4 linked regions of the Stegostoma tigrinum genome follow. Each later gene encodes a partner of the first gene's protein in a complex. Links are inferred from orthologs where the notes say so. Each region holds a gene or a part of one and is shown in the gene's direction. Other genes may lie near its edges. The genes, in order: actin-related protein 2, arpc5lb, arpc3 and arpc2.

Region 1 (6,988 bases):
CAATTCTTTGCTGGAGAATACGAATAACCTGACAGGTTTATATGACAACATTGTTTCATAATTGCGATGGCTGATCATAAGTTGATCATCTGAATAAAAAGTTAACTTAAAATCCACATGTGCCATAGTTGGATTCTGAAATGCTGTCTTATGATAACAAGTCTTGATCTTGAAAATCATTAATCCAATCATGCAGCTCAGCCTGTGTTTCACAGCACACAGTGCAACAAGCGATACAGAAAGATCAAATCAAGTTTCAATCACAATGCTTTCCAAAAATGTGCTGATAGATTCGCTAGCAGTAACTTACACAACCTCTATTTGTGTTGAGCTATGAACACTGGTGCACAGGGGTCTCAAATCTCATGAAAAACAAACACTTCATTTCTAATCTTCCTCTCCGAAGTCTGCTGCTTGCTGTTTATTGGGTAAATCAAAAATTGCTTTCTGACGAGAACATAATGCATCACAAAATTCAGACATTCAGGCAGGTCAAACTCAGTTGGCTTTGACTCGTCTCCTGAAGTTAAACTTTGCACTGAATTTCTATACAGTACATTTCTGCAGCCCTTTCCAGACGTCCTGAGATCACAAACTGCAGAACAAAAATAAAAGTAATTCTTTTACACAAGATTATGAACACAATTTGGAATCGCGGGAGATTAAACAGAACTGTTCCAAATCCTTAGAGAAGTTTTTAAAATCATGCGAGGTAGAGATGAGGGGAATAGTCAAGGTCTTTCCCTTAGGGTAAGGGAGTCCAAAACTAGATGGTGCAGGTTGAAGGTAAGAGGGAATAGATTTAAAAGGGACATGAGGGGCAACTTTTTCACACAGACGCTGGTGCGTATAGGCAATGAACCCAGACGAAGAAACAGACGTGGGGACATTCACATCGAAAAGGTATCTGGATGGGATGTGAATAGAAAATGTTTAAGACCATATGACATAGGAGCAGAAATTAGGCCATTCGGCCTATCGAGTCTGCTCCGACATTTAATCATGGCTCTTAAGTTCCTCAACTCCATTCTCCCGCTTTCCCACCGTAAACCTTGACCCCCCCTTGATAATCAAGAAGCTATCTATCTCAGTCTTAAATGTACTCAATAACCTGGCCTCCACAGCCTTCTGTGGCAGTGACTTCCATAGATCCACCATTCTCTGGCTGAAGATGTTTCTTCTTATGTCCGTTCTAAAAGACGTTCCCTTGACTCTAAGACTGTGTCCTAGAGTCCTAGACTCCAATGGAAGCATCTTCCCAACATCCACTTTGTCCAGGCCATTCAGTATTCTGAAAGTTTCAATCAGATCGCCCCCTCAAGTCCTCTCAAAATAAATGCCAACATTGCATTTGCCTTCCTGACTATGGACTCAACCTGAAAGTTTACCTTGACAGAATCTTGAACTGGATCTCCCAAGTCTCTTGGTACTTCAGCCTTCTGAATTTTCTCCTCATTTAGAAAACAGTCCATGCTTTTAGTCTTCTAACCAAAGTGCATGACCTCACACTTTCCCACGTTGTAATCCATCTGCCACTTCTTTGCCCAATGTCCTAACCTTGTGCTGCCGAACCAATTCCTCAATACTACCTGTCCCTCCACCTATCTTTGTATCGTCCACAAACTTAGCCAGAATGCCCACAGTTCCTTCATCCAGATCATTCATGTACAAAGTGAAATGTTGTGGTCCCAGCACTGACCCTTGTGGAACACCACTTGTCACCAGCTTCCATCATGAGAAAGACCTCTTTATTCCCACTTTCTACTTTCTGCCAGACAGCCAATCTTCTATACATGCTAGAACCTTGCCTCTAACACTGTGGGCCCTTATCTTATTCAGCAGCCTCCTGTGTGGCACCTTTCAAAGGCCTTCTTGAAGTAGAGGTAGACAACATCCATTGGCTCTCCTTGGTCTACCCTGCTCGTTACTTCCTCAAAGAATTCTAGCAGATTTGCCAGGCATGACCTCCCCTTGATGAAACCATGCTGACTTTGCCCTATTTCACTCCACTTCCAAATATTCAGAAATCTCATCCTTTACATGGATTCGAAAATCCTACTAATGACAGACGTTAAGCTAATCAGCCTATAATTTTCCATTTTTTTACCTTACTCCCTTTATAAGCAGGGGTGTTACATTAGCAATTTTCCAGTCCCTGGGGCCCTCCCTGACTCTAGCGATTCCTAAAAGATCACCACTAACGCTTCCACTATCTCCTTTAGAATTCTGGGGTGTAGTCGATCTGATCCAGGTGATTTGTCCACCTTCAGGCCAATCAGTTTTACCAGCACCTTTTCCTCGGTGATGGCCACCATACCCAGCTCCACCCCAGCTCTCTTGAATTTTTGGGATATTACTCATGACTTCCACCTTAACAACTGCCGCAAAGTAATTATTCGGTTCCTCAACCATTTCCTTGTTCCCCACTATCTCTCCATCTTCATTTTCCAGTGGTGGAATGTCCACTTTGGGCTCTCTTTTGCCCTTTAATATACCTAAAGAAACTCTTACAGCCTTCATTTATATTACTGGCCAGCTTACTCTCATATTTAATCTTCTCCCTCTTTTTTTTTGTTGCCTTCTGTTGATCTTTGTAAGCTTCCCCGTCCTCTGTTTTCCCACTGCCCTTTGCCACATTACTAATTACTCTTTTATTTTTATTCTAACCCTGACTTCCTTAGTCAGCCTTGGTTGCCTCATCCTCTCTGTACCATGCTTCTTTTTCTGAGGGATGAATTTTTGCTGTGTCTCCTGAATTACTTCCAGAAACTCTCGCCATTGCTGTCCACTGTCTTTCCTGCTAGGCTCTTCTTCCAATCAATTCTGCCCAGCTCGTCTCTCATAACTCTGTAGTCGCCTTTATTCAGTTGTAATACTTCTATCTTCTCCCTCTCAAATCACTGCTTCCTAAGGGTTCCTTTACCTTTAGCTCCTTTATCAAGTCTGTCTCATTGCAAAACACTAAATTCAGTATTGCATGTTCCTTCATGGGGTCCACCACAAGCTGTTCCAAAAAGCCATCTCACAGACATTCCACAAACTACTTTGCTTGCAATCCACTACCAACATGTTTTTCCCAGTCCACTTGCATATTGAAATCCCCCATGATCACTGTGACTTTGCCTTTCTTACACAGCTTTTCTATCTCCTGGTGTATCTTGCACCCCATTTTATGGGGATAAGAGCCAAATGCTGACAAATGGAACTAGTTTGGTTTGGGATTCTCCAGTGGCGTGGATAAGATGGACTGAAAGGTCTGTCTCCAGTTTGTATGACAAAGTATCTATCAAAGGAAACGAGCTGCGTTGTCGGAGGGTCAGCGCCGAGCGAGCGGGCAAACCGTCGGAGGGTCAGTGCTGGCGGGGCGCCGCACTGTCGGAGGGTCAGTGCTGACGGGGCGCCGCACTGTCGGAGGGTCAGTGCTGAGGGAGCAGGTACTCTTTAGAACTTGGAGAACTGCTGTTGTGGGTGTAAAGGCCGGCACGACCATCATGAAAATACATCACCTGCCATAGCCTCCTGGACGGTGGCCGAGGCCCCGCGGCCGGTCGCCAACAGCAACCGGGCCTTGTCCACCGCAGCCAGCGAAAAGGCCCAGGTTCCAACGACCGCCGCCGCCATAGCAACCAACCCTGCACTCTGATTGGCCCCCTTTAGGGACCAATCACATTAAAACAATCATTCAAGCTGAGAAGAAATGTTTTGTTAAGCTTTAAAGAATATCAGATCACAGTACAAGAACTAGAACTTAAAAGATACCTTAAATATTCTTCAAAAAGACTTATTTTAGACTTCCCCCTCCAATGTCCCGCCCACCGGTCGCTTCCCGAAGTTTATTGGTTAGCCGGGCGCGGAGCGTTATCAACCAATTAATATTGAAGTGTCCTTACCGACCCCGCCTCCTCACTGCCAATCAACGGCACTCTGCCCACCTCACGTCAATCACGACGTTTCTGGCAGCACCCGGCCACGCCTATCGGAAGCGGAGTGTCACGTGGGAACGGCGCGCCCTCTGGAGCGGGAGCGAGCGGACAGTGATTTCCGGTGTCGGGAGGCGGGTGGAAAGTTTCACCGGGACAGAGGGCGGTAGCGGTTCGGGAGCGGACCATGGACAGCCAGGGTAGGAAGGTGGTGGTCTGCGACAATGGCACTGGGGTAAGTGCTGGCTCTTCGGCCCGCCGTCCCAGGGGAAGGTATGAGGAAGTGAGGCGCCGTCTGGGATTGGGGGAGGGGGTGGTATCTGAGGCAGTCACACCACCACCTCAATAACCCACTAACCCACTAACCCACCAACCCACCAACCCACTAACCCACCAACCCACTAACCCACCAACCCACCACTCTCCCACCCCCCCCCCCCCACTCTCCCACCCCCCCCCCACTCTCCCACCCCCCCCCCCACTCTCCCACCCCCCCCCACTCTCCCACCCTCCCCCCCCCCCACTCTCCCACCCTCCCCCCCCCCCACTCTCCCACCCTCCCCCCCCACTCTCCCACCCTCCCCCCCCACTCTCCCACCCTCCCCCCCCCCCACTCTCCCACCCTCCCCCCCCCCCCACTCTCCCACCCTCCCCCCCCACTCTCCCACCCTCCCCCCCCACTCTCCCACCCTCCCCCCCCACTCTCCCACCCTCCCCCCCCACTCTCCCACCCTCCCCCCCCACTCTCCCACCCTCCCCCCCCACTCTCCCACCCTCCCCCCCCACTCTCCCACCCTCCCCCCCCACTCTCCCACCCTCCCCCCCCACTCTCCCACCCTCCCCCCCCACAATTCCACCGCCTCCTTCCTTCCCCACCCCCTGACAATTCCACCGCCTCCTTCCTTCCCCACCCCCTGACAATTCCACCCCCTCCTTCCTTCCCCACCCCCTGACAATTCCACCCCCTCCTTCCCTCCCCACCCCCTGACAATTCCCCTCCCTCCTCCTCTCCCCAACCCCCCCACAATTCCACCCCCTCCTTTCCCCATACCCCCCCTGACAATTCCACCCCCTCCTTCCTTCCCCACCCCCTGACAATTCCACCCCCTCCTTCCTTCCCCACCCCCTGACAATTCCACCCCCTCCTTCCTTCCCCACCCCCTGACAATTCCACATCCTCCTTCCTTCCCCACCCCCTGACAATTCCACCCCCTCCTTCCTTCCCCACCCCCTCCTTCCTTCCCCACCCCCTCCTTCCTTCCCCACCCCCTCCTTCCTTCCCCACCCCCTCCTTCCTTCCCCACCCCCTCCTTCCTTCCCCACCCCCTCCTTCCTTCCCCACCCCCTCCTTCCTTCCCCACCCCCTCCTTCCTTCCCCACCCCCTCGTTCCTTCCCCACCCCCTCGTTCCTTCCCCACCCCCTCGTTCCTTCCCCACCCCCTCCTTCCTTCCCCACCCCCTGACAATTCCACCCCCTCCTTTTCTCCCCACCCCCTCCTTCTCTCCCCATACCCCCCTGACAATTCCACCCCCTCCTTTTCTCCCCACCCCCTCCTTCTCTCCCCATACCCCCCTGACAATTCCACCCCCTCCTTCCCTCCCCACCCCCTGACAATTCCACTCCCTCCTTCTCTCCCCACCCCCCCCACAATTCCACCCCCTCCTCTCCCCATACCCCCCCTTACAATTCCACCCCCTCCTTCTCTCCCCATACCCCCCTGATAATTCCACCCCCTCCTTCCCTCCCCACCCCCTGACAATTCCACCCCCTCCTTCCCTCCCCACCCCCTGACAATTCCACCCCCTCCTTCTCTCCCTACCCCCCCACAATTCCACCCCCTCCTTCTCTCCCCATACCCCCCTGATAATTCCACCCCCTCCTTCTCTCCCCATACCCCCCTGATAATTCCACCCCCTCCTTCTCTCCCCATACCCCCCTGATAATTCCACCCCCTCCTTCCCTCCCCTCCACCCCCTCCTCTCCCCACCGCCCCCACAATTCCACCCCCTCCTCTCCCCATACCTCCCCCTGACAATTCCACCCCCTCCTTCTCTCCCCACCCCCTGACAATTCCACCCCCTCCTTCTCTCCCCACCCCCTGACAATTCCACCCCCTCCTTCTCTCCCCACCCCCTGACAATTCCACCCCCTCCTCCTCTCCCCACCCCCCCCACAATTCCACCCCCTCCTCCTCTCCCCACCCCCCCCACAATTCCACCCCCTCCTCCTCTCCCCACCCCCCCCCACAATTCCACCCCCTCCTCCTCTCCCCACCCCCCCCACAATTCCACCCCCTCCTCCTCTCCCCACCCCCCCCCACAATTCCACCCCCTCCTCCTCTCCCCACCCCCCCCACAATTCCACCCCCTCCTCCTCTCCCCACCTCCCCCACAATTCCACCCCCTCCTTCTCTCCCCATACCCCCCCCCACAATTCCACCCCCTCCTCCCCTCCCCACCCAACCCCCCCTCCACAATTCCAGCCCCCCCTCCCCTCCCAAAATTCCACCCCAAACCCCCACGTTTCCATCCCCTCCTCACCCTCCCTGCCAACCCCACCTGCTTTCCTTGACCTCCCCAACACCATTCTTCCACTACTTTATCCCTTTTCACCCATTCCCCCTGCTTCCCCCAAAATCTGTGTATTGGAATTGCAAGAGTTTAACTGTTTGTCTGGCTGAGGACGTTTGCTGTTTGCAAATTGATTGCTGTCTTTTCTGCAATGGTTTGAACATCCTTCAAAAGTCATGAGCTTTAAAGTTAGAGAATGTCGTAGGAGAATTGTCTGTTAGGTTTGAGTAGTTTTCTATCAATGTATCCTTCTACTATTTTCTCCATTATATGCTTCTTTAAGTTCCCTTCAAGGGCATCAGAGCTGCTGGCCTCGACTGCTCCCTGTGGTGATAGGTTCCGCTCACCATTCTGGTGAAGCCATTTCACTTGGATTCTGACTGGATTTATTTGTGGTAACATTTTTCATAGTTGCCAGTTCTTGTCCTCTGCACAAGTGGAAGCAAGTTTTCTTGTTTCTGTCAGACATACCATAATTTCAGAGATCACTATCTTAT
Region 2 (7,413 bases), on another chromosome or scaffold:
CGGAGGTAGCCACGGATTGTGCTTTTTGGGTATACATTCTTTTTAAATACTCTGTATAAGTGCTCCTGGCCTGCTTTTTGCACAGACTACAACTGGAGACAACATGGCCAGAAACACTCGTCATCCTACAGACCCCTAAGTATCAGGGTACCCCACAAACCAACAACACCCTGTGACAGTAAAGCATTCCACACCAACAACCAAGAAAACTAATGTAATATACAAAATACCATGCAAGGACTGAGAAACATTGCACAGGCCAAAGTGGAAGAAAACTGACAATAAGGATACACAAATACACATTAGCCACTAAGAGACACAACCAATTCTCACTAGTCTCAATACAAGCAGACAAAGAAGAACATAAATTTGACTGGGACAACTCATCCATAACAGCACAAGCCAAACAGTGACATGCCAGCGAATTCCTGGAAGCCTGGCATTCCAACCAGAACTCCATCAACATACGCATTGAACTGGACCAAAGATACAAAGCACTGAGAAACAAAACCGGAAGTAACGCCAAACACCCCAGCAAACCAAGGCACATAAATAACAAGCGGGACAGAACATCGATGCTTCACCAGAGGTGCACTGACAATGTCACTAGCAGGATGACGATAAGTCTGCGATCAAACACACCAGCTCGGTCAGCAAGTCTCCAAACTAATCCAAAGCTGTCCTTTCTAATAAGCGAGATTTTAAAATCACTGGCATGTTCAAAATATCTCAAGCCTATATACTTACATTTTGGACAGTTTGGATGCAGCTCCTCCAGTTACTTTTGCCACACGGAGCTGGGAGAGTTCAACCTTGAGGTCATCCAACTGTTTCAGTAACTCCTCCTTTTTCTTGCCGCGCAGATCACGTGCCTTGATTTTTGCCTATATTTAATAAGAACCACCATGTTACTGTCACACAAACAAAGCCTCCAAGTGGACTCGATCAACAGTACACACATTCGAAAACTGAAGATAATACAAGTAGCTGTTAATGCTATATGGAGCAAGAGTTGGTCCTTCAACTTATCAGGTTTTTCAGCTAGATCTTTGCTAACCTGTACCTTAAACCCCATTTAGCAGTTTCTAATCCAGATAACCCGTAAGCAGAAATTTATTAATCTAAGAATTTTGATTGACCCAACCAGTACAGCTTTAGAGGGAGAGTTCCAGATTCACAGTACCAATAAAGCCCTAATTACAATGCCACAAGGTGCAAAGTATAGCAACTTTAACAAGTAAAATATCTCAAGGTATTTCCAGAGGCTTCATAAAACCAAGATTTGGTACTGAGTGACATCATACAATGTTAGAGTAAAGGGCCAAAAGATTGGTCAAAGTGGCAAATTTTAAGAGATGCTGCAAAGGAAGAGTGGAAGAGATGTGTGTGTGTGTGTGTGTGTGTGTGCGTGCGCGCGCATGTGTGTGGGGTGGCTGCTTTTGTTGTTGAGGGTGCAAATTCCAGAGCTCGGTAAATGCAGTGCTGATCACTGTGTATAGGAAGGTCATGATTGCACTAGAGGGCTCGCACAGGAAATTCACCAGGATGTTTCCTGGGATGGAGTATGTTAGCAATGAAGAGAGGTCAGATAAGCTCAGGCTATTTTCCTTGGAGCAGAGGTTGAAGGAAGAACTGATTGAGGTGTACAAGATTATGAGGGGCACAGACAATGCAAATAGATAGCAGCTGTTCCTCTCAATCAAGGGGCCAAGAGAAAAAAGGCACACTTTTAAAGCAAAAGACAGGAGGTTTCAAGGGGAATGAGAGTCAAATCTTTTCACCTAAAGGGAGGTGAAGTTCTGGAATGCACTGCCTGAGGGCAGCTGAGATGTGTAACTGTAAAACATTTAAAAAGTACTTGGACAAACACCTGTAGTGTTATAACATTCAAGATTATGTGCCTTGTGGGAAAATAGGACGAGTGTAGGTATTAGCATATTTTTCACAGTACAGACTCAATGGGCCAGACAGCTTCTTTTACACTGTACGATTCCATTCTGAGTGCACAGCTGAAACCATAGCCACCAGTGATGGAGTGACAGAATTTGGGGATGCTCAAGGTGACAGAATCAGATGAGTGCATGTAACCAGGAGTGGCGGCAAGCTGGAGTTGACCACAGAAAAATATAAATATCAAGCCAGAGTGGCTTCCAAACAAAAGCAACTAGAAATGAGCAATAAATGCTGGCCAGCCAGCAACACACACATCACATGAATGAATTTCAAAAAAAGACACTATTCAATATGAAAGAGATAATGGGAACTGCAGATGCTGGAGATTCCAAGATAATAAAATGTGAGGCTGGATGAACACAGCAGGCCAAGCAGCATCTCAGGAGCACAAAAGCTGACGTTTCCGGCCTAGACCCTTCATCAGAGAGGGGGATGGGGGGAGGGAACTGGAATAAATAGGGAGAGAGGGGGAGGCGGACCGAAGATGGAGAGCAAAGAAGATAGGTGGAGAGGGTGTAGGTGGGGAGGTAGGGAGGGGATAGGTCAGTCCAGGGAAGACGGACAGGTCAAGGAGGTGGGATGAGGTTAGTAGGTAGCTGGGGGTGCGGCTGGGGGTGGGAGGAAGGGATGGGTGAGAGGAAGAACCGGTTAGGGAGGCAGAGACAGGTTGGACTGGTTTTGGGATGCAGTGGGTGGGGGGGGAAGAGCTGGGCTGGTAGCAACTCATATTCCGCCTGGGAACCCTGCAGCCATATGGTATCAATGTGGACTTCACCAGTTTCAAAATCTCCCCTTCCCCCACTGCATCCCTAAACCAGCCCAGTTCATCCCCTCCCCCCACTGCACCACACAACCAGCCCAGCTCTTCCCCCCCACCCACTGCATCCCAAAACCAGTCCAACCTGTCTCTGCCTCCCTAACCGGTTCTTCCTCTCACCCATCCCTTCCTCCCACCCCCAGCCGCACCCCCAGCTACCTACTAACCTCATCCCACCTCCTTGACCTGTCCGTCTTCCCTGGACTGACCTATCCCCTCCCTACCTCCCCACCTACACCCTCTCCACCTATCTTCTTTGCTCTCCATCTTCGGTCCGCCTCCCCCTCTCTCCCTATTTATTCCAGTTCCCTCCCCCCATCCCCCTCTCTGATGAAGGGTCTAGGCCCGAAACGTCAGCTTTTGTGCTCCTGAGATGCTGCTTGGCCTGCTGTGTTCATCCAGCCTCACATTTTACTATTCAATATGAAACTCCTTTTCCCATTCTTCTCAAAGTTACGAGGATCAAATCTGCAGCGAGAAGTACATTCACCATTTTACCAGATGGGTACACCCACAACACTGAAGAAATCAGACTAGTGCAACAAACCAACATGCTTGAACACTGCAACCATCACTGGACACCCACTAGTTGTACTGCAGCTAAATATCAGAATTCATCACAACTCACCAAGCTTTCTCTAACAACACCTGACTAGCCCAGTAACCACTATCACGAAGCAGAATGGAAAAAAAGATGAAGAGGATCACTATCAATAGGTTTCCCTCTTGAGTCACCAAGAGGAGTTGACCCTGATTTCTTCACCTTAAGAAACCCCCAAAACCTCACTGCAGTTGGGAAGATAGCAACTGAGGCATCAAACGAAAAAGCTGCTCACAATCGGAAGGGAGAAGCAACAGGACCACTATTATCGCCAATTTCAAAGACGTATAGAAATGTGGAGTAAAACCAAGACTTTCTTCGGCGGCGGGGTGGGGGGGGGGGGGGGGGTGAAGACTGAAGCTGATATCGTTGAGCAATGCCACGGGTGATCCAGCGGGACGTCTGGAGTCGCAACAACTGTCTAAACGCTCAGGCAGCTCCCGCCTGATGTGCCCCTCCCGCAGACTCCGCTCGACAGGCCCCGCATCTCCACAACTCCCAATGGCGGGGCTACCTACGCGGACCAGGCAGCGGGGCCGCCATGTAAAAATAAGAGACACACCGCGGCCTGCGGATCATCCGTCGCAGTTTAAACATAAAATCTAAAAAGAAATCCTAAATAACTGGCGGAGCCGATAAAGGGGAGCCTGAGGATTCACAAGAGCCAGCTACTCCCGCTGTAGAGCCAGTAGTTTTTCGGGATGAATTAGGATTCTCCAGTTAGCAGGAGCAGACAACCTACAGACTCCTACCATTTTCTTGGGCAAGCGCAGGAAAAGACAGGCCTCGCGGGCGGGGCCTGTATTTCCACGTGATAGGACCTACCATCCATTTCACGGAGGGGAGGATTCAGCGCGATCCATTATGTCAAACGTTTAACTTTACACAAACATCGTCGTCTTTTAGAAACCTACTTGTTTTATTTTCTTTATAGCCCGTCGTTGTAACTCATTTAACGACGGGGTTCAGTCATCATTGAGTTTTGTTGATTTTGCTTACCGGCCCTCTCCCTGAGATCGTGCATTCCAGAGACTGTTTCCGGTTCCGGGTCGAGGTTCGGCAGGCCCCGCGTTTGAGTGGAAGCAGCGCGATCGCCCGGCGCCGATGCAGCCTCCGGCTCAGTAGGTGCGGGTGTCGGCGAGGGAGTGGCTTATCGTCCCCATTTAACACTTGCTCTTTTAACATAAGTAGGGGCAGATGGCGAGAAACACGCTCTCCAACAGGTTCCGGAAAGTCGACGTTGACGAGTACGATGAGAACAAGTTTGTGGATGAGCAGGAGGAGGCGGTGGAGCAGCAGGGGCCCGACTCGCTGGAAGTGGACACTCTCATCAGGCAATATCCTTATGGCCCGTCTCCCTCTGCGTGCGCGTGTTTGTGAGAGACCAGGCGCTGGCAGAGCGCCGCATGACGCCGGGAGGGAAGGTGACAGCTCTCCCCTCCCCATGACCACGGACCTCTCACTCTTTTTCACCCCCTGGGAACCGCACCCGCTCTCAAACTGCTGCCGACTATTAACTGCGCTCCCGGGCAGCCTGGAGCACCCTCGACTGAAGTTAATGGCATTGCTTTCGCACTCATCCTTCACTGGATTGCTTCATTTTCATCGAGTTTGTCACTTAACTGACGACTTCAGTGTGAGTTTATTATATCATGTGCAGAATTTGTCATTTTGGAGATTTGTTTAAATACCTTTTATTTTTTTAATTTCCAATATTTACCCCGCTGTGATCAGCACCTTAAGTCCTCAGTGTGGAAATGGGTGGAAGTACGAACGGGGTTACTGCTGCTCACTTTGTCCCTAAAAATAGCAGAGAGCCACCATTGTACAAGCTGTGATTGTAGTAACAATCAAATGTCAAATGAGACAAAAGATAAAGCCACCCAAAATGACATAAAAGAAATCAATTTGTCAGAACTCAGTTCAAGCTCCAAGCATACCGTCGCTAAAATGAAATCATGATCCCAAAAACGTTGTTCCACCATCCAACTGGCACTGCAGCCCACCGTTTGGGAACCCTTGATTTGAGATTTTGTTCAAGTTGGAAAATAGCGATCATTTTCAGTCACAATGTTAATGTACAGTGGTATTTGAGCATTTTTAGCCAGGTCCTGCATTCTTGCAAATATATAAATTAGTTACAGGACTAGGCCACTTAACCCCTCTGCCATTCAATAAGATTCTTGTGCACTGCCAGTGTCCCTTGAGCCAAATGGCCTGGTTTAAGTCCTACCGGCTGCACAGGTTTGACATAACACTTCTGATAGATTGAGAAAATAAATTGAATTTGATTGTGGCTGATCTGATTACTCCACATAATATTGTGTGTGGTTGAAAGATTATCCCCACCTTTGTCATAAATCTATTTACTTCTGTCTTAAAAAATTCAAAGACTCTTCTTCCATCACTTTTTGTGGAAGACTTTTCCAAAGACTGATGACTTTCTGGGAAAATTCTCCATATCTGCCCTAAACAGGTGACCCCTTAGAATCTCCCACGAGAAGAGACTTCCCTTCCATATGCACCCTGTCAAAGCTTGTCAGGATTTTGCTTCAAACAAATCACCTCTTACTCTTCTAAACTTCAGAATTAAGGTTAGCCTGTCCAGCTTTTCTTCATAAGACAACCTGCCCATTCCAGTTGTGAGATGATAAAAACTGAAAAACCTGTTGACAGAAACAAAAAACAGGAATTTCTGGAAAGCTCAGCAGGTCTGGCAGCATGTGAAGAGAAATCAGTTAATATGTTTTGGGTCTGGTGACACTTCCTCTGACCCTGATTCTGATTTCTCTTCACAGATGTTGCTAGACCTGATGAGTGTAATAAACCTTCTTTGAACTGCTTCAAGGATATCTTATTTCTCTCCTTCAATAAGGAGACCAATACTGTATGCAGTACTATAGACAAATGCCCTGAAAGGCTGAACAGTAATCTACATTTGTATTCAATTTCCTTTACAATAGACAGATTCTATTAGCTTTCCTAAATACTTGCTGTACCTGCACACTAATCATGTGATTCCTTTGAGGATACCCAGATCATACTGCGCCTTGGAGCTCTGCAAACTCACATTTATGTAATGCTTCTGTCTAAATCTTGCAGTCAAAATAAGCATTTTTACATTTTCTCAACTTGTATACCATTTCCCACATTTTTGCTGACTCATTTAAACTATGTTCCTTTGTAGCCTCCTGTGTCCTCTTTTAGTTTACTTTCCTACCTGTCGTGGTGCCTTTAGTGATTATACCTTTGGTCCCTTTGTCCAAGCTGTTCATATAAATTAAAAGTTGAAACCCCAGTACTGATTCTGTAGCCCATTACGACTTAGATTTGCCAACCAAAAATGATCTATTGACACTTCTGTTTCCTGTTAGCTAGCCAATCTTCTATCCATGTTATTTTGAGATGGTTGCACTGTTTAAATGAACTTGTTTTGCTTTCATAAGGTCACTTTTTTTTTGTTGGCATTGTGTGGGTGTTGTTGGCAATGCCAGGATTTATGTCTGTGCCAGTTGCTATAAACTGGTGAATGACATTCTTGAATTGCTACTGTGCATGTACTGGCTCAATGTTTGTGTACAAAATCAATTTTTCTGTGCCATGAGTTCTGAATCACCATAATTTTTAACATTCATTCACAAGAATGGTGTATCTATGGCTAGGCCAGCATTTGTTGCCCAATCCTAACTGAGATGGTGTAGTCTTGAACTGCCACCATCCGTTCATGGATATGTATGCCCATGGCACTATTTGGAAATGAGTCCCAGAATTGCTGGATGATTAACTAAAATTTTTGTTCTGGAAAAAAAAACTCACCAGTTTCTATAGTGTTGTTGGATTTATTACAGATTAACCTCACTACAGTCATAAAGGTCCTGCAAATGATGTGATTTGTGGCACCAAAATGCTGCTACTCCATTGGAGGCACAGATAGGAAATCAGGAAACTGAAGTCTTAGTCAAGTAGGAAAATTGTTCAGAGGTTTTAAAGAAAACTTTTATCCCCCTCAGACCATTTACTTTCCCACTACTTATCTCTTACC
Region 3 (7,320 bases), on another chromosome or scaffold:
AAAGCAAATTTAAAATTCAAAGTAAATATTAATTTGGAGTTTTAACACTCTCTTTTTCCTCACAGATGCTTTCATACCTGATGAGCTTTTCTGGCAATTTTGTTTTTGTTCACTGTTTTTGGGTAGTATCCTGGATTCATAGCCATAAGCCTGTATTTTGGGAGGCTGAGTTGCTGATATCACCACTGACACATCCTGTTTTAAAAGTGGAAATCAAAAACAGCAGTGCAATGGGTCACTGAAATAATGTGATAATGTGACAACTCTTGATACAAAGGCTGCAAAGATGCTAAATATGTTATTTGCCTTGGCTGTCTCCTTTTTGAGGTTTAAATAAAACTAAAATTATCTGGAAAGTGAAGTGGGTAAGGAAAGAGACAATGTTTCTCATCACCATTCATATTACTACTAGCATGGTTGTCTAATAGGTGTGGAAACTTGAACTTGAGTTGGGTAAAATGCATTTGAAAATCTTTTAAAGAATTAAAGAGAAAATTACAGAAATTCTGGCATAAATCTTCCAGAAATCATTGTGTAGTGGCAAGTTGTTTGTGACTGCATGAAGGTAAGTTGTGAATTTGTCACGAGTATAAAATTATACAAAGCCTCCCTAAAGAGAGAATATGGACCACTTGGATAGAAATAAAATCACTAAAGATTATCAAAGTGGATTTGTGAAAGGAATGATTTAGTATTGTAATGCCATTGATTAACATTATAGGGACTATCATAGGGTTAACAGAGGGATTAACCTTATAACATACTTAGTATCTTTGCAGCCTTTTTACCAAGAATGGTCACATTATCGCATTATTTCAGTGACCCATTGCACTGCTGTTTTTTTTAATTTTCACTTTTAAAGCAGTATGTGTCAGTGGTGATGTCAGTTATGATGTTTTAATTTCAAATCAAGCTGTTGATACAGAACTAGAGAACATGCTTTGTTTAAACGGTGGAATGGTAAATGCAAAATGAATCCGCAAGAATAATGTCGGTCAGTGGCTTGTCTAGGGAACAGTTCCCTGGAGAGACCATAAAAGTTAAGTGTTGATTCAATTTATTCAGATGGCATTTCATCTGTATATAATTCAAGACATGATCTGTGCACTGGATGTAACACAGTTAGTGGATTTGAAGGCATGAGAACACAAAGTCCAATAGGTGTCATAGTTGTTGCCGACTCACTTGTCATCATTATAATTTTACTAGTGGTGGGGAGACAATCTGCTGACTTGCACCATGGTGGGCCAATTGTAGTCCTTTAATGCCCAGTTAAGGATCCCATCCTGCTTCTGCTGGGAAAGGCCTATCAGCTTACCACGTGTCAGGCAGGCAAACATAGGAACAGGTGTGTTGTTAAGCCTTCTCTGCCATCCCATTATTTTGACTGGGTGATTACCCATCCCTCTGTCATGTTCCTGTACTATCTCTATATCCCTTGTGAAATTTAGTCTCCAAATTGATTTCTCATTTGAACACACACTGCACTCTGGGACACAGCATTCCAAAGATTCTCATCACCCTCATCGTGAAATTCATCTCATCTTGGTCTTAAGTGGCATACCTCTTTAAACTAATATGGTGCTCCCAGCCTAAGCCTCCACATCCACCTGATCACACGCTGTAAGAATTTTGTAAGTTTCAAATGAGGTCACTCCTCAATCTTTGAAACTTTAGGGAATAGAGACCCACAATCTTAACTTTATAAGGCAGTTCCATTATCCTGGGGATTTATTTGGTGAATCTTTCATTCACTCCTTGTATGGCAGGTAATGAGACCAAATCTGTACACGATATTCCATTTGAGGAGTTAAAGGTTTTATACAACTGTGACTTTACTCCTGTAATCAAATAGTCTCCACTTAAGGTCCACACATTATTTGTCTTACAACGCAAGTGCAACAAGCAATTAGTAAGTCTTAAGTGACTTATTAATAGGGATATCCAGTCCATTTGCCAGCACTCCTCCATCCTCACTTTTCCACCCTACTAGTCTGCATCCAAAGGATCATATACTGCCATATACGGCACCTCCAGTGGGATGCCACCACCAGACTTGTATTTCCCTCCCCTTCTTTGTCAGCATTTTGTAGGCATCGTTTCCTCCAGAATGCCCTGCTTGACTCCCAAAACAACTCCATGGCACCCGTTCAAACAAGGTACAACACTTGACTGTTTACCTCCTCACTGCAAAGCCTCAGACACATCTTCCAAGTGAAGCGGTGACTTACCTGCACTTCATTCAATGTAGTCACTGTATTGGCTGTTCACAATCCTCTATATTGTGTAGACAAAACAGACTGGGTGACTGCTTTATGAAATTCTGTATACAAAAATGACTCCAACCTTCCAGTGATTTGACACTTCAACGTGCCACTGTGTTCCCATGCCAACATTTCTGTTTCAGACCTGCTGCAGTCCTCCAGCGAAGCTCAACACGACCTGGAGGAACAACCCTCACCTTCTGGGATGGGGGTTAGAATAAATAGAGAAGGGTTGAGGTCAACAGTATCAGGCTAGCATAACATGAAGCAATCCCTGTCTGGGTGAATGAAAACATGTACCTAGGACTGGAGATATCATTAATTAGACTAATATATTCTGATAAGGTTGGAATTTGCAGATTGACTAAAGGTGTATAAATTAATTGAATCTCTACAGTGTACAAACAGGCCATGCAGCCCAACAAGTCCACACTGACTCTCCAAAGAGCATCCCATCCAGACTAACCCTGTATTTCCCATGGCTAATCCACCTAACCTGCACATCTTTGAACTGTGGGAGGAAACCTATGCACACAGATGGAGAATGTGTGGAGTTTGTACAGAATGTTGCCCAATGCTAGAATTGAACCTGGGTCTCTGATGCTGTGAGCCACCATGCTGCCCTTGAATTTCTTTTATTTAGGAGAACTTTCATTTTAGTTGAAGGGTGGTTATGGTAGAGGATTTTCTCTTTTCAAACAGAGATAGGGACTGCCATAATGTTAAGGGCTTGGATGGAGAGGAATTTAAGCATATACAAGAAAATTTTCTGATTATGTGGATGTACCTAGCAGAGAAGGTGCAAATCTTGACCTACTCTTGGGAAATAAGGCCAGGCAGGTGACTGATGTGTCAGTGGGGGAGGCTGTTTGGGGCCAGTGACCATAATTCTATTGTGTTAGTGATGGAAAAAGAATAGAGATGGTAGGAACTGCAGATGCTGGAGAATCTGAGATAACAAGGTGTAGAGCTGGATGAACACAGCAGGCCAAGCAGCATCAGAGAAGCATGAAGGCTGACGTTTAGGGCCTAGATCCTTCCTCACAAAGGGTCTACGCCTGAAACATCAGCCTTCCTGCTCCTCTGATGCTGCTTGGTCTGCTGTGTTCATCCAGCTCTACACCTTGTCATCTCACAGAAAAGGACAGACTTGTTTTTGAGAAGATTTGTAGCTTGGTTTGTGGATGAGGTTGTAGACGAGGTTGTAGACTTGCTCACTAAGTTGGTGTGTTTGCAGATGTTTTGTCACCCTGCTAGGTAACATCAATGTACCTCCAATGAAGTGTCAGTATTGTGTCCTGCGTGTTATTTATATGCTTCCGTTGGCATCACTTCCGTTGTGTTTCTCAGTAGTTTGTATATCAGGTCCAGTTCATGTTTGTTGATGGAGTTCTGGTTGGAATGCTAAGCCTCCAGAAATTCCATGGCTTGTTTCTGTTTGGCATGTGCTATTATGGATGTGTTGTCCTAGTCGAATTCATGTCCTTCTTTGTCTGTGTATAGTAAGACCAGTGAGAACTGGTCGTGGCTTGTTGGTGTTTAATACAGTACCATTTATTGTTTTTATACCATGTTTTCGACTCTGAAAGCTTATGTTTTCAAATTGTTGGCCTATAACTTGATGTGATGAGATTTCTGACCTTGATCACCTCTATGCTTCGTCAAGGACAACAACTCTCCAACTTCTCACATACATCCCAGAGTCCTTCATGCCTGTGACTCGTCTTCTGAATCCTTCCTGTATCCTCTGATAGGTCCTACTGTGTGGGGCCCAGAATTAGTTGCAATACTCCAGTGAAAGTTGAATCAGTAAATTGAGAACTGCAGTCCTGAACTGACCCCCCCCCCCCCCCCCCCGGATGGGGAAGGGTCGGGGGGGAAAAAATCCTCCAGTAAAACGTGCAGATCCTTCATAAGATAATAAAACGTGAGGCGGGATGAACACAACAGGCCAAGCAGCATCTAAGGAGCACAAAAGCTGACTTTCGGGCCTAGACCCTTCATCAGAGGATCCTTCGCCAGGTTCTATCTCGTGTCACGTGGGAATAGCGTTCGCCGTGCTCACTCCCGCACCGCCGCCTGACGCCGCGCTCGTCACCGACAGGGTGGGACTGGCGGAAGAGCTGAGAGTGACCGAAGCAGAACCAATTTATTCTGGGCGCTTGTTCAGTTGCAGGTTGTAAAATGCCGGTAAGTTTCTTGAAGGGTTTTTATTTAATCCCCCAACACCTTCCTGTATCGGAGCATCCTAAACTCATGTTATTTGATGGAAGTTAACTGAAAAATCAGAGTGGATGTGAAAAATCAGGAAGTAGGCCGTTTGGGCCTAAGCAAGATTATTAAGAAAAAATATTTGTGTCTTTGGTCCAAAAATGTACGGTTGAGAGAACTGTGTATTTTGTCACCTTTAGCTTAATGAAGTGAATTACTTTAATTCAATGATGTTATTTGATGCTAACCTTCATGGAGCATCCTGCATCCGTTTTACTGGAAGTTGTGGTCTGTAGTATTGATCTTAATCACCTACGAATACAATCTTAAAATCAGGAATATATTTGACAGAAATATGCCAGTTGAGTCGGTATACTAGGGAAGGACAGCATTTCTAATTGTACTTTTTCTCTCTCAGGCTTATCATTCAACCCTTATGGATAGTGATGTAAAACTGATTGGAAACATGGCATTATTGCCGCTTAAAACACAATTTAAAGGACCAGCTCCTAAGGAAAGTAAGTTTTGAGATTGATTTTATGAAAACTGAATTATACAACACTTGCATCAGTTTGTACAGTTATGCATAGGGAAACAGTTTAAGTGTTAGTTTTGTAATTTAAACCAGTTAATAATTGTAGAAAGTTCTTTCAAAAAAAATCTTGGTGCCAGGGAAAAAGCACACTTTTTAGTTTACAAATAGACACATTTCCATACAGCAGTGTGGTTGTGATGTAAATTACTGCTTTGGGAAATGTACCTTGCATGGGTATATTTATTTTATCATATCTACTATCATTTGGTAACAAGGGGAGTAAAGGCTAAATGTACTCCTGCTCTTGTTTTGATTTAAGTACCAAATGCAGAGGCAGTTTGACCATGTGTTACTCTATTGATTAAAATTTGCCTTGTCAAAAGCAGTTTTCCACAGCTGGATTTCTGATTAGCCACATGTAGTGCATGGCTAGTGTATTGAAAAATACTCCAATTGAATTGTTGAATGCATTCAAAAATTCTAGTTCAACACATGCAGCATGCAACTTGCACCCGCAAACATCAGCTAGGTTCTCTGGAAAGATACTGAAGTTTCAAAAAGTAGTATTTCTTTTTATAATGTTACTTTTGGTCACTCTTTGGCCTGGTAACTGTATTTAAGAGCGCTGTTAGTCGACGTGTTGGTGTAGGTTGTACTGTCATTCAGGTTTGAGAGCATGGAAAGAGGCTCCGAGGCCTACCATGTCCATGACCTTCATCAAATATCATTTATTGTAATGTTCCATTACTTGGTCAGTAGCCTTGCATGCTATATGGCATTTCAACTGCTTGTCTAAATAGTTTGTAAATGAGTTGAGGGTTCCTACCTCTGCTACCCTTTTTGGGCAGTGAGTACGAAATATCCAGAACCCAGTTTGGGGTTGGGTGGAATTTTGCAAACCCCTTTAAAACTTCTGCTCCTTACCTTAGAACTCTGGTTCCTCGTTTTGAATCCTTCTGCTGGGTGAAGAAAGCTTGAGAGAATAGCGAGGGAAAGTGCAATTATACTTTTTAAATGTCATAGGAAGATAAGATTTCTTAAAAAAAACTTTCATGGAATGTGGGTATCAATGGCTAGGCCAGCACTTATTACCGATTTCTAAGTGCCCTTGAGAAGGTGCTGCTGTGCTGCCTTTCTGAACGTTTGCAATACGTGGTATATTGATATAGCAATGATGCTGTTAGGGAGGGAATTCCAGGATTTTGAACCAGCAGCGATGAAAGAATTCTGATATAGTTCCAACGAGAAACTTGTGTGTTTTAGAGGGGAGCTTACAGGTGGGGATATTCCCACACATCCACTGCCCTTGTTTCTCCTAAGGTTAGTCATGTATGGGGTTGGAAGGAGGTGAAAAATTTGCTGAAGCTTGTTTCTTTTTTGTACCGTCCACCTGATGGCCAAAGAAAGCATGCCAGCGTGACAGTCTAAATGTTGTTTTACATTCTAAGTCAAATGTAATATAAGCTAAAATTATGTAATTTGCAACAGTTAATGAAACAAGGTGCATATTAGATTAGTTGTGGGTTTTCAGCCAAGGAGGCCAGACACTGCATTCTAGTTAAAACCAAGAGGACACGCTTTTTGTTTTGATTGGAACATAGTTGCCTGTAGAAAGAAGACTTAATTGATGATTGAAATGACTACCTGAATGGGTCAACTTTGAAGTTTAATCAAGGAGTAAACTCATTTGGTGTGGTGTGGGGTGAGGGGAGGAGAGAGAGGAATCGATGACAAGAGGCCGTAGATTAGACATAAGAGACAGGAAGTTTAGAGCAAAGGAGAAGAAAAACATTTTGATCCAAAAGGTAAAAACTAAAAGAACTGCGGATGCTGTAAATCACAAACAAAAGCAGAAGTTGCGGGAAAAGTTCAGGTCTGGCAGTATCTGTGAAGAAAATGTGGTTGGAATATTTAGGTGGTGGTGCTTTTTGACTCTGTGGGCCCAAGGGCTGCTTTCTGTGTTATTGACTTCTGTAATTATGACTCTATCTCCCAACTGGGGACAACAAATTCAAACTGTTAATTTTTTGTTATGCTTAAGGATTTAAGATTTGGTTATCAATAATGATCTTTTCCAGCTAAAGACACTGATGTCATTGATGAAGCAATCTACTATTTTAAGGCAAATGTTTTCTTCAAAAACTATGAAATAAAGGTAGGTTTGTTTTCTGATTTGTCAATTGTAAAGATTCTTTTTAAATAAAGTACATGAATAATTTGTCGTGTATTCAAGGGAGTAATGCGTCGTGTAGTATAACAAAGTGAAATCACTTCGGCACAAAAGTAGTGTGATTATGTTTAGACAGTGTT
Region 4 (7,207 bases), on another chromosome or scaffold:
AACCCTCTTAATCAAGAAACCAACCTAGTGAACCTTCACTGTGCCACTTCAAATGCAAGTATGACCTTCCTTAAGTATTTCAACAAAAATTGCATTCCCAAAAATCTATATTCCAGATGTGGTCTTAACAAATCCCTGTACAATGTAGCAAGACTTATTTTATCTATACTCAAATTCAGACTGACATGCCACTTGTTGCCAGATTTTTTACTGCACATAGAAACATAGAATTAGAAGCAGTGATAGGCCATTTAAATGCTTGAGCCTTCTCTGCTTTTCAATATGCTCATGGCTGAAGATCAAGCTCAATACCCTAATCCCACGTCCACCATATCTCTTGATCTCTTTAACCACAAAGCTATATCTAACTTCCACATAAAAAAAATGTTTTGGCCTCGATCACTTTCTGTGAGAGTAAATTCCACAGACTCACCAGTCTCTAGGGAAGGAAATTCCACTCATCTCAGCCCTAAAATGTTTATCCTTTATTCTCAAACAATGACCTCTAGTTCTGGACTCCCCCAACATGAGAAACATCCTTCCCTCTTCTAATCTTCTGAGATGCCCCACATTCTTCTAAACTCCAGCGAATACAATCCTAAGTCAATCTCATGGCCCGCCACATCCCCAACTCAAACATTACGATCAAGCCAGCGGATCAACCCTGGTTCAATGGAGAGTGCAGGAGGGCATGCCAGGAGCAGCACCAGGCATACCTGAAGGTGAGGTGTCAACCTGGTGAAGCCACAAACAGGAATACTTGCACGCCAAGCAGCAATAGCAGCAAGTGACAGACAGAGCTAAGCAATCCCACAACCAATGGATCAGATCTAAGCTCTGCAGTCCTGCCACTTCCAGCTGTGAATGGTGGTGGACAATTAAACAACTCACTGGGGAAGGAGGCTCCACAAATATCCCCATCCTCATTGATGAAAGAAGCCAGCACATTAGTGCAAAAAATAAGGCTGAAGCATTCACATGATCAGTTGGAGGAGTTGCATTACTGGCCAACAAGCATATCACAGCTGTGCTGAAGGAGGGCATGGTGGAGAACTCACGCAGTGAGGCAATATGGGCAGAGCTCAGAAATAGGAAGGGTGTGGTAACAATGTGGGGGCTGTACTACAGGCCTCTCTACAGCAAGCATGAGATAGAGGTACAAATATGTACACAGATTAAGGAAAGATGTAGGAGCAACAGGGTGATGGTGATGGGAGATTTTAATTTTCCCAACATTGACTGGGATTCACTTTGTGTTAGGAGCTCAGATGGAGCAGAATTTGTAAGGAGCATCCAGGAGGGTTTTCCAGAGCAGTATGTAAATATTCCAACTCAGGAAGAGGCCATACTGGACCTGGTGTTGGGAAATGAGCCCAGCAAGGTGGTTGAAGGTTCAGTAGGGGATTACTTTGGGAATAGTGATCACATTTCCGTAAGATTTAGAATACTGATGGGCAAAGATGAGAGTGATCCTCAAGGAAGAGTGCTGAACTAGGGGGAGGCCAACTATAGCAAAATTCAGCAGGAGCTGGGGAATGTGGATTGGGAACAGCTGTTTGAGATTAAATCCACATTTGATATGTGGGAGGATTTTAAAGAGAGATTGATTAGAGTAAAGGACAGACATGTCACTGTGAAAATGAGGGATAGCAAGGGCAAGATTAGGGAACCATGGATGACAGGTGAAATTGTGAGACTAGCAAAGAGGAAAAAGGAAGCATACAAAAGGTCTAGGTGACTGAAAACAGATGAAATTTGGAAGAATATTGAGAAAGTAGGACCAATCTGAAATGAGGGATTAAGAGAGCTGAAAGGGATCATGAAATATCTCTATCAGACAGGGTTAAGGAAAATCCCAAAGCCTTTTATTCATACATAAGGAGCAAGAGGCTAACGAGAGAAAGGGTTGGCACACTCAAGAACAAAGGAGGGAAGTTATGCGAGGAGTCAGAGAAAATGAGTGAGATTCTTAATGCGTACTTTGCGTCGGTATTCTCTGAGGAGAGGGACAGGACAGATGTTGAGGTTAGGGATAGATGTTTGATTACTCTAGGTCAAGTCAGCATAAGGAGGGACAAAGTGTTGGGTATTCTAAAAGACATTAGGATGGACAAGTCCCCAGGTCCAGATGGGATTTAACCCAGATTTCTGAGGGAAGTGAGAGTGAAAATAGCTGGGGCCTTAGCAGATATCTTTGCAGTATCCATGAGCATGGTGAGGTCCCGGAGGACTGGAGAATTGCTAATGTTGTCCCCTTGTTTAAGAAGGGTAGCAAGGACAGTCCAGGCAATTATAGACCAGTGAGCCTGACGTCAGTGGTGGGGAAGCCGCTGAAGAAGATTCTGAGGGATAGTATCTATTCCCATTTGGTAGAAAATGGGCTTATCAGTGACAGACAACATGGTTTTGTACAGGGGTGGTCATGTCTTACCAACTTGATAGAACTCTTTGAGGAAGTGACAAAGTTGATAGATGAGGGAAGGGCTGTGGATGTCATGTACATGGACTTCATAAGGCATTTGATAAGGTTCCCCATGGTAGGCTGATGGAGAAAGTGAAGTCACATGAGATCCAGGGTGTACTACGTAGATGGATAGAGAACTGGCTGGGCAACAGGAGAGAGGGATTGGAGTGGAAGAGTGTTTCTCAAAATGGAGAACTGTGACCAGTGGTGTTCCACAGGGATCCATGTTGGGACCACTGTTGTTTGTGATAAATGATCTGGAGGAAGGTATAGATGGTCTGATTAGCAAGTTTGCAGATGACACTAAGATTGGTGGAGTAGCAGATAGTGAAGGGAACTGTTGGAGAATGCAGCAGAATATAGATAGATTGGAGAGTTGGGCAGAGAAATGGCAGATGGAGTTCAATCAGGTAAATGCGAGGTGACGCATTTTGGTAGATCCAATTCAAGAGTGAACTATGTGGTAAATAGAAAAGCCCTGGGGAAAATTGGTACATGAAAAGATCTGGGTGTTCATGTCCATTGTACCATGAAGGTGGCAACGCAGATGCATAGAGTGGTCAAGAAGGCAATATGGCATGCTTTCATTCATCAGACGGGGTATTGAGTCCAAGAGTTGGCAGGTCATGTTACAGATGCATTGGACTTTGGTTCGACTACATTTGAAATACTGCGTACAGTTCTGGTCACCACATTACCAAAAGGATGTGGATGCTTTGGAGAGGGTGCAGAGGAGGTTCACCAGGATGTTGCCTGGTATGGAGGGCGCAAGTTGTGAAGAGAGGTTGAATAAATTAGCATTATTTACATTAGAAAGACAGAGTTCGATGGGGGACCTGATTGAGGTCTACAAAATCATGGGAGGTATAAACAGCATGGATAGCAAGAAGTTTTTTTCCCAGAGTGGGGGACTCCATTACCGGGGTCATGAGTTCAAGGTGAGAGGGGAAAAGTTTAAGGGAGATATGCGTGGAAATTTCTTTACACAGAGGGTGGTGGGTGCCTGGAACGCGTTGCCAGTGGAGGTGGTAGAGGCAGGCACGATAGCATCATTTAAGGTGTATCTAAACGGATACATGAATGGGCAGGGAGCAGAGGGATACAGATCCTTGGAAAATAGATGACAGGTTTAGATAGAGGATCTGGATTGGCGCAGGCTTCGAGGCTGACGACTTGTTCCTGTGCTGTAATTTTCTTTGTTCTTTGTTCTTGGTTCACAGGAACAAAGAGATGAAATATTTGGGAAGCCACAATCCAACCTTGCTTCATGCTGTTTAACAGGCATCTAACCAGTTATGACCCTCAAGATGTACACTCTCTCTACATCAACCCTTGATTTAATATTTCCTACCATTCACCGTATCACAGATATACCTTTTACCTCACACCTTCTTCCCCACTTGCTCTTTCTCTAAATTTGCTTAACAACAGTTATCCTCCAAGCGGTCCAAGTTTGCGTGCAAGTTCAGAGACCTACAACTATCGCTCAAGATTTTAAATTCATTGTGAAATCATCCATCTGCTGAAAGTTAACATCAGTCCGTTTATTTTTTTTCATCTGCTTCTCACTTCTTCCCATTTGTCTCATCTAGGCAGATATGATGATATTTCTCTGAAGGGCTTCAGAAGTCTGGGGAAATAATCCAGCAATGGTGGTGAGATATCCCAGGATGCCCCGGGGTCGTGAAAGGCCCCTGCTCCGCGCTGACCGGCTGCGGAAGTGGTTCTGCGGGTGTGGCTGGGCCTTGTTTCCGGAGAGGGTCTGGAGTTGGAGGAGAGGCCGAGACTGTGTCCGGGTTCCTTGCCGCTGCCGCCATGATCCTGCTGGAGATTAACAACCGCATCGTGGAGGAAACCCTCAGCCTCAAGTTGGAGAATGCGCTCGCGGGGTACGGACCCGGGAAATGCTTCTTCATTGCCGGGCGGAGGGAGGCTCCTGGGCCGGCGCTCAGCTCAGGCCCCGACCCGGACACACCCCTCCCCCCGGATCCCCCTCATCTCCCCTCCCCCCCCGGGATTCCTCCCCCCCCAACCCCAACCCCCCACCCCCCCCACCCCCCCACTCCTCCCCCCCACCCCCCCACTCCTCCCCCCCCCACCCCCCCACTCCTCCCCCCCCCACCCCCCCACTCCTCCCCCCCCCACCCCCCCACTCCTCCCCCCCCACCCTCCCCACTCCTCCCCCCCCACCCTCCCCACTCCTCCCCCCGGGATTCTTTCCCCCCACCCCCTCCCCCTGGGATTCCCCCCCACCCCATGATCCCCCACATTCCCCCCCCCCCCCCACCAGCCCACCCCTCCCCCAGGATCCCCCTCATCTCCCTACCGCAACACCTGGATTCCCCTGATTCCGCCACCAGCATACGCCTCCCACGGGATCCCCCTCATCTTCTCTCCCACACCCCTACCCCCACCCTGGGATCTCCCTCACCCAGCCCTCCCCTCCCCTGGGTGACAAGGAATATTGAAAGTTTAGTCACAAAGTAAAAGGAGGCATATGTAAGGTTTAGGAAACTGAAATCGAACAAGGCCCTTGAGGAAGGAAGCAGAAAAGAACTTAAATGAGAAATTGGGGCCAGTAGGGGCCGTGAAATGTCCTTGGCAAGTACGATTAAGGTGAATCTCAAGGCATTTTATAAACCTATGTTAGGAGCAAGAGGCTCACTGGGGTCCAGTTAAGCACTAAAGGAATTTATACTTGGAACCAGATGAAATGCCTGTAATGAGCACTCCACATCAGTATCCAAAAAGGAGGCCATGTTGAATGGTGAATCTCAGATGGAGTATGTTCTAAGGCATGCTCATATTGAGGACGAGGTGGTGAGTGTCTTTAAAAACACTAAATCCCCAGGACCTGATGACATCTATCTCAGGATAATGAGGGAGGCAGTGGGGGAGATTGCTGGGAATTTGACTGAGATCTTTGATTCCTCTTTCACCACAGTTGACGTCCTAGAATTCTAGAGACTAGCTAGTGTTGTTCCATGTTTAGGTAGAGCAATAGGGCTCGTCCAGGAAATTGTAGGCTTCCGTGCCTTGCATCAGTGGAAGGGAAATTATTGGAAAAGGTTCTTAAGGACAGGATTTATTCACGTTTAGCAAAGAATAGACTTAATAGGGATATGCAGGGCTTTATTACGGGAAGGTCTTGTCTCACGAATGTGAATAGATTTTTTTGAGAAAATGATGAATATGATTGAGGGTAGGGTAGTGGATGTTGTCTTCATGGACTTTACCAAAGCAGTTGATGAAGTCCATCCTGGTAGGCTACTCTAGGAGATTAAGTTGCATGCAGTCCATGGTATGTTGGCAAGCTGCATTCAAAATTGGCCTGGCCCAGAGGAGGTAATAGTGGAAGAGTGTTTTTTTCTGACTGGATCTCTGTGACCAGTGGTGTTCTGCTATGGTCTGTGCTGGGACATCTGTTTGTGTTTTACAATGATTTGGATGAAAATGTAATTGGCCTGATTCGTAGGTTTGCAGACAACACAAAAAATAGAGTTGTGGATAATAGGAGAGTTTGTCAAAGGATACAACAGTATATAGATCACTTAGAAAGTTGGACAGGGAAATGGCAGATGGAGGTTAATCCGAACGAATGTGAGGTGATGCATTTTGGGAGGGCAAATAGAAGAGGAAGTTGTATAGTAAATGGCAGGACCCTGAGGAACTGTGGTAAACAGGAATTTTGAGATGGAAGTCCAAAGCTCCTTGAAAGTGGCAGCACGAGAGGATAGGTGGGAAAGAAGGTGTGCAGCGTGCTTGCTTTTATTGGTCAGGCCACTAAGTGTAAAAGTTGGCAAGTCATGTTGCTGTATAAAACTTTAGGCCATGCTTGAAGTATTGTATGCTGTTGTGGTTGCCACATTATAGGAAGGATGTGGAGTTGCCACCCAGGTTGACAGGGCTATTAAAAAGGCATACAGTGTTTTAGCTTTTATTAATAGAGGGATGGAGTTCCGGAACCAAGAGGTTATGGTGAAGCTGTACAAAACTCTGGTGCGGCCGCACTTGGAGTATTGTGTACAGTTCTGGTCACCGCATTATAAGAAGGATGTGGAAGCTTTGGAAAGGGTGCAGAGGAGATTTACTAGGATGTTGCCTGGTATGGAGGGAAGGTCTTACGAGAAAAGGCTGAGGGACTTGAGGCTGTTTTCATTAGAGAGAAGAAGGTTGAGAGGTGACTTAATTGAAACATATAAAATAATCAGAGGGTTAGATAGGGTGGATAGGGAGAGCCTTTTTCCTAGGATGGTGATGGCGAGCACGAGGGGGCATAGCTTTAAATTGAGGGGTGAAAGATATAGGACAGATGTCAGAGGTAGTTTCTTTACTCAGAGCGTAGTAAGGGAATGGAACGCTTTGCCTGCAACGGTAATAGATTTCCCAACTTTAGGTACGTTTAAGTCGTCATTGGATAAGCATATGGACGTACATGGAATAGTGTAGGTTAGATGGGCTTGAGATCGGTATGACAGGTCGGCACAACATCAAGGGCTGAAGGGCCTTCACTGTGCTGTAATGTTCTATATGAAACAGGTTACCTGTATATTCTGGGTAACAAATTGTCAGAGGACTTCTCTTAATTGAACATAGAACAGTACAGCACAGAACAGGCCCTTCAGCCCACAATGTTGTGCCGACCATTGATCCTCATGTATGCACCCTCAAATTTCTGTGACCATATACATGTACAGCAGTCTCTTAAATGACCCCAATGACCTTGCTTCCACAACTGCTGCT

The links.
Region 2: the proteins of actin-related protein 2 (region 1) and arpc5lb are in contact, whole or in part, in a cryo-EM structure (PDB 6YW6), measured with the Homo sapiens proteins. The link is inferred for Stegostoma tigrinum from reciprocal best matches to the Homo sapiens genes ACTR2 and ARPC5L. Residues at the interface, in NP_005713.1 of Homo sapiens: Tyr225, Glu263, Phe266, Gln267, Arg319, Lys322, Gln323, Ser338; in NP_112240.1 of Homo sapiens: Arg11, Arg12, Val13, Asp14, Ile15, Asp16, Glu20.
Region 3: actin-related protein 2 (region 1) and arpc3 share a complex: the UniProt entries of both Homo sapiens proteins name them as parts of the arp2/3 complex. The link is inferred for Stegostoma tigrinum from reciprocal best matches to the Homo sapiens genes ACTR2 and ARPC3.
Region 4: actin-related protein 2 (region 1) and arpc2 share a complex: the UniProt entries of both Homo sapiens proteins name them as parts of the arp2/3 complex. The link is inferred for Stegostoma tigrinum from reciprocal best matches to the Homo sapiens genes ACTR2 and ARPC2.

Annotation. Positions count from the first base shown.
Region 1 is NC_081362.1:2,370,549-2,377,536, forward strand, and holds the start of actin-related protein 2, read left to right. Parts: upstream 1-3,984; 5' UTR 3,985-4,107; coding exon 4,108-4,155; intron 4,156-6,988. Other genes in the region: zgc:153169 (N(4)-(Beta-N-acetylglucosaminyl)-L-asparaginase), read right to left, coding at 3,507-3,621. UniProt on the Homo sapiens protein: ATP-binding component of the Arp2/3 complex, a multiprotein complex that mediates actin polymerization upon stimulation by nucleation-promoting factor (NPF).
Region 2 is NC_081382.1:26,288,315-26,295,727, forward strand, and holds the start of arpc5lb (actin related protein 2/3 complex, subunit 5-like, b), read left to right. Parts: upstream 1-4,407; 5' UTR 4,408-4,568; coding exon 4,569-4,708; intron 4,709-7,413. Other genes in the region: rpl35 (large ribosomal subunit protein uL29), read right to left, coding at 748-884, 4,124-4,126. UniProt on the Homo sapiens protein: May function as component of the Arp2/3 complex which is involved in regulation of actin polymerization and together with an activating nucleation-promoting factor (NPF) mediates the formation of branched actin networks.
Region 3 is NC_081379.1:24,235,475-24,242,794, forward strand, and holds the start of arpc3 (actin-related protein 2/3 complex subunit 3), read left to right. Parts: upstream 1-4,319; 5' UTR 4,320-4,448; coding exon 4,449-4,454; intron 4,455-4,893; coding exon 4,894-4,993; intron 4,994-7,088; coding exon 7,089-7,165; intron 7,166-7,320. UniProt on the Homo sapiens protein: Component of the Arp2/3 complex, a multiprotein complex that mediates actin polymerization upon stimulation by nucleation-promoting factor (NPF).
Region 4 is NC_081360.1:104,225,864-104,233,070, reverse strand, and holds the start of arpc2 (actin-related protein 2/3 complex subunit 2), read left to right. Parts: upstream 1-4,186; 5' UTR 4,187-4,279; coding exon 4,280-4,353; intron 4,354-7,207. UniProt on the Homo sapiens protein: Actin-binding component of the Arp2/3 complex, a multiprotein complex that mediates actin polymerization upon stimulation by nucleation-promoting factor (NPF).